2 linked regions of the Saccharomyces cerevisiae S288C genome follow. The gene in region 1 interacts genetically with each later gene. Each region holds a gene or a part of one and is shown on either strand. Other genes may lie near its edges.

Region 1 (7,699 bases):
CACATCTGATGAGGACGCAGCCAATAACGATCCAATTGGCAATGATGAAGACGAGGATGTCTGTGGTATCTGTCGTGCCAGTTATAACGGTACCTGTCCAAGCTGTAAATTTCCAGGCGATCAATGCCCTTTAGTGATTGGGCTATGTCATCATAACTTCCATGATCATTGTATATACCGTTGGCTTGATACACCAACCTCAAAAGGACTGTGTCCGATGTGTAGGCAAACTTTCCAGCTACAGAAGGGTCTAGCAATTAATGACGCTCATGTCCAAAAGTTCGTTGAAATAGTTTCAAGAAGAAGAGAAGAAATGATAGAGGAGGGCGTCGCAGAAGAGTTTGTGGACTTTGATGAACCAATAAGGCAAAACACCGATAACCCAATCGGTAGACAGCAAGTTGATACCATCCTGGACGAAGACTTTTTGTTACGATAAAAAAGAAACTTAGAAATCACAATTAGCTATATTTCCATACGGTTCTTTTCTTGTGAACGCTGTTAACATTCTGTATACTTAAATGAAAATTTAATATTGATTTTTTCTTGTTGCAGCTAAAGATAAAAAAATTTTCTTTTCCAATCGTTGAATAGATGTACTGTAGCCGGAACTGAAGTTAAGGTTGTTAGATTGAAAAAGAACAACAGTGTACTAATCATGCTAACGATGACAGCGGTATCGTTGCATACTTAGAATACATAAAAATATGCTTCCAATCGGATTTGAACCGATGATCTCCACATTACTAGTGTGGCGCCTTACCAACTTGGCCATAGAAGCTTCTGATTTGTGTTCATTTGATTGTAAGTTAGAGTATTTCAAGCTCTAACTCAATTATGTGAACTTTCATAAAATTGTGTTATTTTTGAGAAATATGTGAGTTGTTAGATAATTGTTGGGATTCCATTGTTGCTAAAGGCTATAATATTGGTATACAGAATATACTAGAAGTTCTCCTCGAGGATATAGGAATCCACAAAAGGGAATCGATAGTTCTACATAATGTTATTATTTTATCTTCTTTCCTTTTATGCGTTGTCATTCATTATCCTATTACATTATCAATCCTTGCATTTCAGCTTCCATTAGATCGGATGACTGTTTCTCAATCTTTATGTCATCTTCTTACACCGCATGTGATAATATAATATTAAATAGATGATATTAGAGTTCAATTCCAACAATTTTCATTCTAGATAGCGGGAATATTACTGGGTATTCAGTATATCACAACGTCTCTTACAAGATAGAGGATACTACAAGAGGGAAGCAAGAATCATACATGGTAATGTTGTTTTTTCTTCCCCACATTTTTTGTTATCATTCGTTATTTATTATATTTTCAATGCTTGCATTTGCAGCTTCCATCTCATCTGATGACTGTTTCTCAATTCTTATAGTGTGTTATCATGTACGGTATTAGATGATGACATAAGGTTATGAGAAATTGTCGTCGAAGTTAAAGGAAGCTGTATTCTGTATACATAATACTATAGAATTTACAAACAGTGGAATTGCAACAATTATCAAATTATTCACCTAATAATCACCTTTAACATTCAGGGAGGTTTATTTTTGCTTCCGAAATTTTTACAGTCTACAGGGAAGAAATAAATATTTAGTTGAGAAAGTTTTGTTTATTTGTAAGTTATTAATTTGAAAAATAAATACCATAACTAGCGCAAAGCTTATAAAAGAGATGTTTGTTGAAAAATGCAGAAACCCCATATATAAAACCATGAAATGTCACAATGGACATGATGTACATTCTTGGAGATAACATCATATTCGAAATATTCAATATGCCCAATTGGTACCTGTTCTCCATACCCCATTATATGATACAAATGATCTGCCCCTATTCTAACACTGTGCTAGCAACATAGCAATTATACTAAATTTTTTCAGTCACTATGCAATACATGTAATCTCTCAACTACCAAGCAGTCATTATTCTATTAATATATATTTGTGCTTGGAAGTATTGTTTCACTTCTCAGAGGCCTTTCTTGACATGTTATAGTTTTTTAGGTACCTTCTAATCCTGTAAATTTATACAAAAATTGGTATATAATGGCTACCTCCGGAAATTTTAACAACTTTTGGGTCACACTATTACTGTGTATACTTCCTTTAGAGATCTCAAGCATTACTGAAAGATAACCTGAGGAAAAACATAGCGCGTCTACGGATGTGTAATACTCGCTGGATTTCCTGGTAAAAACTACTGTACATTTATCAGCTGCCTCTGCCAATGCTATTGAGAACCGTAGGTTCATTAGAATTACTTCATTCAACGGAAAACGTCACTATACCTGCCGCTTGTGTGTCGCGTCAGTAACGCCTTGACAGAAAAAGAAAGAAAAGAATATGACCGACCGATCGATGTATTATTATTATTGAACTGATTATAAAAAATTGGAACGTCGTAGAATCAGAAATCATAAGACAATGGCCAACTATGCCAAATCACACATCAATATTTAACCGAGATAGCAAAAGAAAATAAATTTCGATTATTTTTAAAATGTAACTGACAGTTTTTGGCACTTGTGGACTTCCTCTTTCCGGCAGATAGCAAAACCAACGGTAGAATGGCCCCGAAATTTAAATTTTATTTCATTGTGTGCTTGAGCGTGGCCTTTTTTTTTTTTTTTTTACATATCACAAACAATTCACACATTACCACACATACCATAAGCTAACGTATGCGGTGCAAAGTTCACTATTAGGCGCTTAAAGGCTTGGAACGAAATGACTTCTGGCTTTTGTTTCCTATACACATTCTTAGCAAAACTTTTGGTGTTGTAACAAGCAATGAGATAGAGAAAGAAATATATCCATCAATGGAAGAAATAGGCAGACGTCGGTAATTTTATTCTATTGAAAATATGCAAAAGTGACAGTATAAATTGAAGTAACTAATTTTACATCTAGTAAGCTGCTGTTGAAGAATTGAATAGTATCGCAGTATTTATTTTGTATACCCTTAGAATACACATACTTGGTGTTAGAAGCCATCTAATACACTATATAACTCGGGGATTAAATCATCTTGGAAGAGCGAATCTAGTTCAGGATCGCCTGTCGTAAAGTTCGAGGATAAGGACATCGAATTTAGTAGTAGTCCTAATGACTCGATGTTATTGTCTAAAATTTGTTCAATTTCTTTTCCTGATTTATCATCGTCTTCTTGAATAGGTAAACAGTAATATTTACCAAAGTTCAGGAGGGTTAGGATGGTGTGAAAAATTATAGGAAGGAACATCAAGAAAGTGCTTGAAATATTTTTCTTGGATTATGGAAGTATCAAGAACGATATTATTTCAATAATGTGATGGTTTATATCTTTGCATACAATAGATTTTGTGATACTTTTTTTATGTAATGGTCCCGTAACCCCGTCGCTCTTTCCCTTTTAATTTTGCCCGATCCACTTTCTATGCCGGTAGTTTAGCCGCCAAGTGCTATTTTCAAACGAATCAATAGTAGCGGCTGCAACTTTGAAAAAGAAAGAAACAAAATTATGCGCTAGTTTTCCATTTCTTGTATTCTTTTTTCTTTTGCGGTGGTAATTACGGGAATTTAGTGATGTTGGAACGAGAGTAATTAATAGTGACATGAGTTGCTATGGTAACAATCTAATGCTTACACCGTATATTAATGTACACCTCGTATACGTTTAAGTGTGATTGCACCTATTGCAGAAGGAATGTTAAACGAGAAGCTCAGACAATACTGAAGCTGTGCTAAAGATCTATTAATTGAACATGATATGGTAGGTACATATATGAGGAATATGAGTCGTCACATCAATGTATAGTAACTACCGGAATCACTATTATATTGGTCATGATTAATATGACCAATCGGCGTGTGTTTTATATACCTCTCTTATTTAGTATAAGAAGATCAATACTTATTTCTTCATTAATACTATTTTTTACCTCTAACTATCAACAAGTGATAATTGTTGGAATTCCATTGTTAATAAAGGCAATAATATTATGTATACAGAATACAGCTTCCTCTAACTTCTATGACAGTTTCTCATACCTTATGTCATCATCTAACATTGTACATTATAATATACTCGTAGTAAGACTACTAGTTGAGAGAGAATAGTTGATTTTTATTCTAACAAATAATATTCCAGCAGGTTTACATATTCCTAGGTTTGGGATATATCTTAAGTCAATAATTCATCATTAGTAAGGCAACTTGGCCGAGTGGTTAAGGCGAAAGATTAGAAATCTTTTGGGCTTTGCCCGCGCAGGTTCGAGTCCTGCAGTTGTCGTCATTTTTATATTCCCAATATTTTTATCACTCCGGGTAACGAGTTATTAACGGTTTTTCTCCGGTGGCAAATGTCTCTTTTCTTTTACCTAAAAGAAGGTTAATGTGAATATTAGTGAATATGATGCGTATCAGTGTCAAGCTTACAGTCAATTCAAGTTAAAGAAGAGACAGCGTTTTTAATAGAAAATAAAATGGGACAAGGTGTATCATCTGGACAAGACAAAAAGAAGAAGAAGGGATCTAATCAGAAACCCAAATATGAACCTCCCGTTCAATCTAAATTTGGTCGTAAGAAAAGAAAGGGAGGTCCAGCTACTGCTGAAAAATTACCCAACATATATCCAAGTACTCGTTGTAAGTTAAAGCTTCTAAGGATGGAACGAATTAAAGACCATTTGTTATTAGAAGAAGAATTTGTCTCTAACTCTGAAATTTTAAAACCCTTTGAAAAGAAGCAGGAGGAGGAAAAGAAACAATTGGAAGAAATACGTGGAAATCCATTGAGCATTGGGACCCTTGAAGAAATTATAGACGATGATCATGCGATAGTGACAAGTCCAACTATGCCTGATTATTATGTATCTATCTTATCCTTTGTCGATAAAGAGTTACTAGAGCCTGGATGTTCTGTGTTATTGCATCATAAAACCATGTCCATCGTAGGTGTTTTACAGGATGACGCCGATCCAATGGTTTCGGTCATGAAAATGGATAAGTCGCCAACAGAATCATACAGTGATATTGGTGGCTTAGAATCTCAAATTCAAGAAATAAAAGAGTCTGTAGAGTTACCGTTAACACACCCCGAACTGTATGAAGAGATGGGTATCAAACCTCCCAAGGGTGTGATTCTTTATGGTGCACCCGGTACAGGTAAGACATTGCTAGCAAAGGCTGTTGCAAATCAAACATCTGCCACATTCTTAAGGATTGTTGGCTCAGAGTTAATTCAAAAATATTTGGGGGATGGTCCTAGGTTGTGTAGGCAAATTTTCAAAGTAGCGGGTGAGAATGCACCAAGTATTGTATTTATTGATGAAATAGACGCCATTGGTACTAAAAGATATGACTCCAATAGTGGTGGTGAGAGAGAAATTCAGAGAACCATGCTGGAATTGCTGAACCAGCTGGACGGGTTCGACGACAGAGGGGATGTGAAGGTGATTATGGCCACTAACAAAATCGAGACTCTTGACCCAGCATTAATCAGGCCTGGGAGAATTGATCGTAAAATCTTATTTGAAAACCCTGATCTAAGTACTAAGAAAAAAATTTTAGGGATTCACACTTCCAAGATGAATTTAAGTGAGGACGTTAATCTTGAAACTTTAGTAACAACAAAGGATGATTTGTCAGGCGCCGATATCCAGGCAATGTGTACAGAAGCAGGTTTGTTAGCCCTTAGAGAGAGAAGAATGCAAGTTACAGCGGAGGATTTTAAACAAGCCAAGGAGAGAGTCATGAAAAATAAAGTTGAGGAAAATTTAGAAGGTTTATACTTGTGATGTGCCCATTTACATTTTTCTATAATAGATTTACGTATATAAGTAATGCTTCAACAAAGCTTAATATGTGTACATTTTGTATCACGTGCAATATTTGTTTCAAAAACTTAATATAGGTAGGGCGTCGGGGCCTTCGCGAATTCTAACTGCAAAGGAAAACTGGTGAACACATCTGAGAGGGTTTGTTGTCCTAATTTTATAGGAAACTAAAACTCAAAAGACAAAGTATACCTTTGCAAATTGAAAGCTTAGTTAAACATTATTATTCGTGTGTTTGAGGTCACTTTTTTTCGTCTTAAACAGCTCTCAAAGTTGTCTCAAAATTTTTATCCGGATTCCTTTACATTAACAGACCCCAAACACAACAAGTTTTGATAGTTTAAGTAAGTGAACGCTTATTTTTGTTGTCGTTGAAAAGAAAATAAATAGGCAGTATTATCAATTAGGAGGTGAGTTAAATTCCATTCTATACCGAGTATACGAGATTTTGCACATTCTTACTTCATATATCATTTAGGCACTGCATTTATCTTTTAAAAATCATTATAATGAGTAATCATTCTGAAATCTTAGAAAGGCCAGAAACACCATATGACATAACTTATAGAGTAGGTGTGGCGGAAAATAAAAACTCGAAATTTCGGAGGACAATGGAAGATGTTCATACGTATGTTAAAAACTTTGCTTCAAGATTAGATTGGGGATATTTCGCGGTGTTTGATGGACATGCTGGGATTCAGGCCTCCAAATGGTGTGGTAAACATCTTCATACAATTATAGAGCAAAACATTTTGGCAGATGAAACACGAGATGTTAGAGATGTATTGAACGATTCATTCCTAGCCATTGACGAAGAAATTAATACAAAACTTGTAGGAAATAGTGGATGTACTGCTGCTGTTTGCGTATTACGTTGGGAGCTTCCGGATTCAGTTTCTGATGATTCAATGGATTTAGCCCAACACCAAAGAAAGTTATATACAGCAAATGTTGGTGATTCTCGAATAGTATTGTTTAGAAACGGGAACAGCATAAGACTGACTTATGATCATAAGGCATCTGACACTTTGGAGATGCAGAGAGTTGAACAAGCAGGTGGCCTGATAATGAAAAGTCGTGTAAATGGTATGCTGGCAGTGACGAGATCGTTAGGGGATAAATTTTTTGATAGTTTAGTAGTGGGCAGCCCATTTACCACGAGCGTAGAAATAACTTCTGAGGACAAATTTTTAATCCTAGCGTGTGATGGATTATGGGATGTTATTGATGATCAAGATGCATGCGAATTAATCAAGGATATTACTGAACCTAATGAAGCTGCAAAAGTCTTGGTTAGATATGCTTTGGAAAATGGCACAACAGATAATGTAACGGTCATGGTTGTCTTCCTCTAAGAAGGATCCGTTATAAACCGCGCAAAAATTATGCATAGACATAGAGATATGCAATGTGTATGTGTGTATGTATGTATATGTATAAACGTACCAAATCTATTTTGCATGCATCTCTCACATGACGAATGAGGTTTTAGTAGAATAGGATTCCAGATTTTTAAACTGGAGAACATATTCTATCATATATATACCAATTAAATTCACGTAGCGAATGCACAACACGGTTTACAAGTCAATAGTTAACAATAGGAAGACCAAGCTATATATTGAAGCCGCTGAGGTCTAATTCGCCATTATCTCCAGTGGTCGACCAGTCAATATTAAGGTCGTTGAAATCATTTAATGTCAAGTATTCTTCACCGTTGTCGGCTGGAGGAGGGTTATCTCCAGGATTGGAAACAACGGTCGTTGGTAAATCATTATTAACTATATTTTCATTATCATTTCCGGTAGTGATAGAATTGTTCTTGTTATTGCTGTCGTTGTTGGTGGTATTGTTA
Region 2 (5,077 bases), on another chromosome or scaffold:
ACGACACATTTTTGGGGAACGGTCAACGTCTCGGTGGAAGAGCAAACTTACGTTCAAATAGATATCCTATGACAGGAATAAGTACTAACACAGGGATAGTGAGAAAAAGGGGCAAAGGTGTGAAGTTAGGGAGTTTGCATCCAGAGGGTATATCATCTATAGATAGAGGTAATTCCCCGAGAGAGTTGGCGGCTTTTGCAGCCGAAAGGAGATATAGAGATGATCGCTGGTGCGGAGAGACGAAGAATAACAAAGATCAAATAATAAGTGATAATATTAGCAGCTCCTTAGAAGTTGTAATCCTTGATGATGATGACGAGGTACTCCCGGGAGATACTCTTATCGAAGTTATTGATCTCACTTAATCTCTTGTCCACAGCGAAGAACTCGAAAATTATAAGTATGGTAAATGTCGTTTCGGTTGTAAAGTATACAGATATATTCACATTACAAAAAATGTAAGAAAGACGGTAGTCTTGCAAAAAATGTCATTTCTATATTTAGCAACAACCTAATTTTTGGAAAAAGCCCTTATGAGAAGCAGCTAGACTTGAATTATCGTCATTTGGGTGCTGTTCAGGAGTTCTTAAAGCAGCAGAAGGTTGTTGTTGTGGTTGATAACGAGCGCCAAACTGCTGAGATTGAGTTTGCGCTTGAGGCTGAGATGGAGGTTGGCCTGTTGCACGTAGCTGTTGCTGTTGCTGTTGCTGCTGTTGCAATTGTTGCTCTTGAAGTTGTTGCTCCTGAAGTTTTTGTTGCTGCTGTCTCTTTTGTTGTTCTTGCAGGTATTTCTGCTGGGTTTGATGCTGGTAAGCTTCATAAGAAGTAGGGTCTAACTTTGGTTTATATTGAGAATTGCGCATATCTGCCTCAGTTTTTTGAGCATATTGCTGTTGCTGTTGCTGTTGTTGGAGCTGTTGCATTTGGAGCTGTTGCATTTGGAGCTGTTTGTTTCTATGTTTTCTCGATTTTTCGTTTGGTGGATTTGGATGGCCGTATCCGTGGAGATTTGGCTTCTTGTTTATGTTAAGATCCCAACCACGGCCATCGTTCAGTTTCATCCAATCATATTGGCCGTCCGCGGTTTCACCTAAATCATCCAGTACAGATAGTAATAGTTTTCTATAGCCTTCATAATCGGGACACTCTTCAAAGGAAAGACTTCTGACGATTTCTAGATACCTGCCAAATTGCACAGGTAAGCCTTGAGCTAGATCGTAAACGTTAGTAGATCTTTTCTTTTCACCAATCTTTTCGTATTTTTGCTTATTGTTTGGAGCTTTTAAACCCTGCCAGGGTAAGTGGCCTCTCAAGAAATAAAAGAAAACGTGACCCAAGGCCTCCATATCATCTCTTCTGGACTGCTCTCTTCCAAGGTGAGTATTAATGGACATATATCTGGCAGTGCCGCTGAGTGATTTTTTCTCTCTATATGGGATGTGCTGTTTAGTTTTCGGATCACGATACTGTTTGGCCATACCGAAGTCGATCAAATGGATGTTGTTTGCGTCAGGTTGGCCGGGCCTTCCAATCAAGAAATTGTCTGGTTTGATATCACGGTATATCAAGTCATGTGCGTGCAAGTCTTCAATCAAAGTAATCATTTGGACAGCAACTTGCACAACCGTTTTGACAGAAAATTTTCTTCCACACCAATCAAATAAATCTTCCAAAGAGGGACCCAAAAGATCAATGACCAAGATATTGTGCAAACCTTCTTGGCCGAAGTAGTACGCGTAGGGGATATTGGGAGTGCCATTCAGAATTTTATATGTTTTATATTCATCTCTTAATTGAGGGGCCTCCGTTTTTCTGGGCTCGAATTTGATCGCGACGGGTACGCCATTGATCATATTAGTACCTTCAAATAGCACACCAAAGGAACCTTCCCCTATTTTTTTGCCGATCTTGTAATGTAGGCCGACAATAGTAGAGTCATCTCTGGAAGAGTTGCTGTTGGAGTTGGCGGCGGTCGTGGCGGTCATCGAAGATCTTGCGGGCGAGTCGACAGCCTGGTGGTGGAGTTGTTTGTTTGCTTGTACGTTAAAATTTGCGTTTCCGTTTATATTGGTGAGGTTGTTAACTGCTAGAGTGGTACTTGCTATGGGCATGGACATGGGGAAGAGGAGAGCAGGAAAAGGGCCAGCGAATGCGCGAAATTTTTGTATGTGTCTTTTCTCTACTATGGCATCCACATGAAAACCAGTCACAGAGCACTCAATGAACGGTTTGCGTTTGTTGTTTGTAAGAAGCAAGCAGAAATCAAAGACCCATGTATACGATCGCTGATTTGTTTTGTTCTGTTTTTTCTTGTTCCGGCGAAAAAATCGTAAGAAACGAAAGGAGAACGAGCCCACAGGCGGGGTAACATCAAAAGGATTTATATTAGATCGTAAAGTCAATGCATATGTAACAGTACAGAGGTAGAAGGTATGTATGTGTAACGATTAAGAGATGCAATCATGATTGTTCTTCGTCAGACGAATCTTCGAATATGTCTTCGTCAATGACACAGTCGTTCTCCCAAAAGTCATGGGCGAGCTTGCTTAAAACGGCGGCAGCGTTTTGACGCTGCGCTCTACTTGAATCTTTCTCATTAATGTACTCGTTATACTCTTTAAAAGTTGATCCACTGAGAGATTGTGACTGCGATGTTCTACGTGGAGTATAGTAACTAGCAGGATTGAGCCTCCTGCACTCTTTGAGCCTCAATAGAGAAGCGATCTCCTCGGAGAGTTTTCTTCCCTTATGCTGGTGACCATCTTTAAGTTGTTTGTGTTGTCCTTGTGAAACTGCTGTTTCCATTTTGCCGCGTGGAGACATCTGTCCAATTTGCCCCTGGCTCTCTGTAAATACCCATATATGAACGTTATATATATTGTATATTAATGGCGTATATGTGCCCATGGGAAGTCATAGTAATAGATCTAGGCACGTGGCTGCAGTGACTCCGCGCAGGGCTGTACCGCCAAGGTAGATAAGAGAGCGGAGCACGTGGGAAAAGAGAGATACGGTATGTTACAACAGTCAAAGTAATGAACTTTCGCCCACGTGCGTACATCATTTACTATCTCAGGCCGCTGCGTTTGGAACTTTACGGCGTTGTAGTTGTAATTGCCATAACTGCCATGCATTTATGTATATATATTTTCGTACGTAATGAACATGGTTATGTTATATATTGTTTGCAATCAGAGAGAAGTTGAAGAGGAGAAAAAAAAAAAGAGAGAGCCGTACCGCAATAAAATGGACCCTTGTCGGTCACGTGAGCAAAAATACTATTGCCGCCGACGGCCGTAGATAATAACAAAGGAATAAAAAAAAAAAAGCGGTAACTCGCGGAAGCATTGCCGATGCTTACCGAGATTTGCCGCGGATAACCGAACCATCATTGGGGTAGGAAACATTATAAATATTTGATATATATAAAGGAAAAAGCTTGATTTGGTCTTGTAATATCCCAGTGTAAACATAAAAATACACACATACCACAATTACACTCTCTCATCGACTCAATGACTGCTGGTTCTGCCCCCCCTGTTGATTACACTTCCTTAAAGAAGAACTTCCAACCGTTTCTCTCCAGAAGAGTAGAAAATAGATCTCTGAAAAGCTTTTGGGATGCTTCTGATATCTCAGATGACGTCATTGAGCTAGCTGGTGGAATGCCAAACGAGAGATTTTTTCCTATCGAATCTATGGATTTGAAAATATCAAAAGTTCCTTTTAATGATAACCCAAAATGGCATAATTCGTTTACCACGGCGCATTTGGACTTGGGATCCCCCAGTGAGCTACCCATTGCACGTTCTTTCCAATATGCAGAAACCAAGGGTTTACCCCCTCTCTTACATTTTGTTAAAGATTTTGTGTCCAGAATTAATCGCCCAGCCTTTTCCGATGAGACGGAGTCTAACTGGGATGTCATCCTTTCTGGCGGGTCCAACGATTCAATGTTTAAGGTTTTTGAAACAATTTGCGACGAATCGACCACTGTGATGATTGAAGAGTTTACTTTCACCCCGGCTATGTCCAATGTGGAGGCTACAGGAGCAAAAGTCATCCCCATCAAGATGAACCTGACCTTCGACAGAGAGTCCCAGGGTATTGATGTCGAATATCTAACGCAGTTGCTCGATAATTGGTCAACTGGACCATACAAAGACTTAAACAAGCCAAGGGTCCTATATACCATTGCAACGGGCCAAAATCCTACCGGGATGTCTGTCCCCCAGTGGAAAAGAGAGAAAATTTACCAGTTGGCCCAAAGACACGATTTCCTCATTGTTGAAGATGATCCCTACGGTTATCTGTACTTTCCTTCCTATAATCCGCAAGAGCCATTAGAAAACCCTTACCATTCTAGCGACCTGACTACTGAACGGTATTTGAATGATTTTTTAATGAAATCATTCTTGACTTTGGATACAGATGCCCGTGTCATCCGTTTGGAGACTTTTTCTAAAATTTTTGCTCCTGGATTAAGGTTATCCTTCATCGTTGCTAATAAATTCCTTTTGCAAAAAATCTTGGATTTGGCCGACATTACTACAAGGGCCCCCAGTGGTACCTCACAAGCTATTGTTTATTCTACAATAAAGGCAATGGCTGAGTCCAACTTATCGTCCTCTCTTTCTATGAAAGAAGCAATGTTTGAGGGTTGGATAAGATGGATAATGCAGATTGCTTCTAAATACAATCATAGGAAAAATCTTACTTTGAAAGCCTTATACGAAACAGAATCTTACCAAGCTGGTCAGTTTACCGTTATGGAACCCTCCGCGGGTATGTTCATCATTATTAAAATCAATTGGGGGAATTTCGATAGACCTGACGATTTGCCGCAACAGATGGATATTTTAGATAAGTTCTTGCTGAAGAATGGTGTTAAAGTAGTGCTTGGTTATAAAATGGCTGTTTGCCCAAATTATTCAAAGCAGAATTCAGATTTTCTAAGACTCACCATCGCCTATGCAAGGGATGATGATCAGTTGATTGAAGCTTCCAAAAGAATCGGTAGTGGCATAAAAGAATTTTTTGACAACTATAAAAGTTGAACAGTGAAGATTAAACCTAT

What was found. A genetic interaction does not mean that the proteins touch.
Region 2: mutations in PTC1 (region 1) and YCK1 together harm fitness more than expected from each alone (negative genetic interaction), as found in Saccharomyces cerevisiae (4 studies listed by BioGRID).

Annotation. Positions count from the first base shown.
Region 1 is NC_001136.10:433,556-441,254, forward strand, and holds PTC1 (type 2C protein phosphatase PTC1), read left to right. Parts: upstream 1-6,353; coding exon 6,354-7,199; downstream 7,200-7,699. Other genes in the region: APC11 (anaphase promoting complex subunit 11), read left to right, coding at 1-439; YDL007C-A (uncharacterized protein), read right to left, coding at 3,012-3,269; proteasome regulatory particle base subunit RPT2, read left to right, coding at 4,492-5,805; MED2 (Med2p), read right to left, coding at 7,459-7,699. UniProt on the Saccharomyces cerevisiae protein: Serine and threonine phosphatase. Involved in tRNA splicing and cell separation.
Region 2 is NC_001140.6:372,194-377,270, forward strand, and holds YCK1 (serine/threonine protein kinase YCK1), read right to left. Parts: upstream 2,118-5,077; coding exon 501-2,117; downstream 1-500. Other genes in the region: metalloendopeptidase WSS1, read left to right, coding at 1-365; SPL2 (Spl2p), read right to left, coding at 2,461-2,907; ARO9 (aromatic-amino-acid:2-oxoglutarate transaminase), read left to right, coding at 3,516-5,057. UniProt on the Saccharomyces cerevisiae protein: Casein kinases are operationally defined by their preferential utilization of acidic proteins such as caseins as substrates.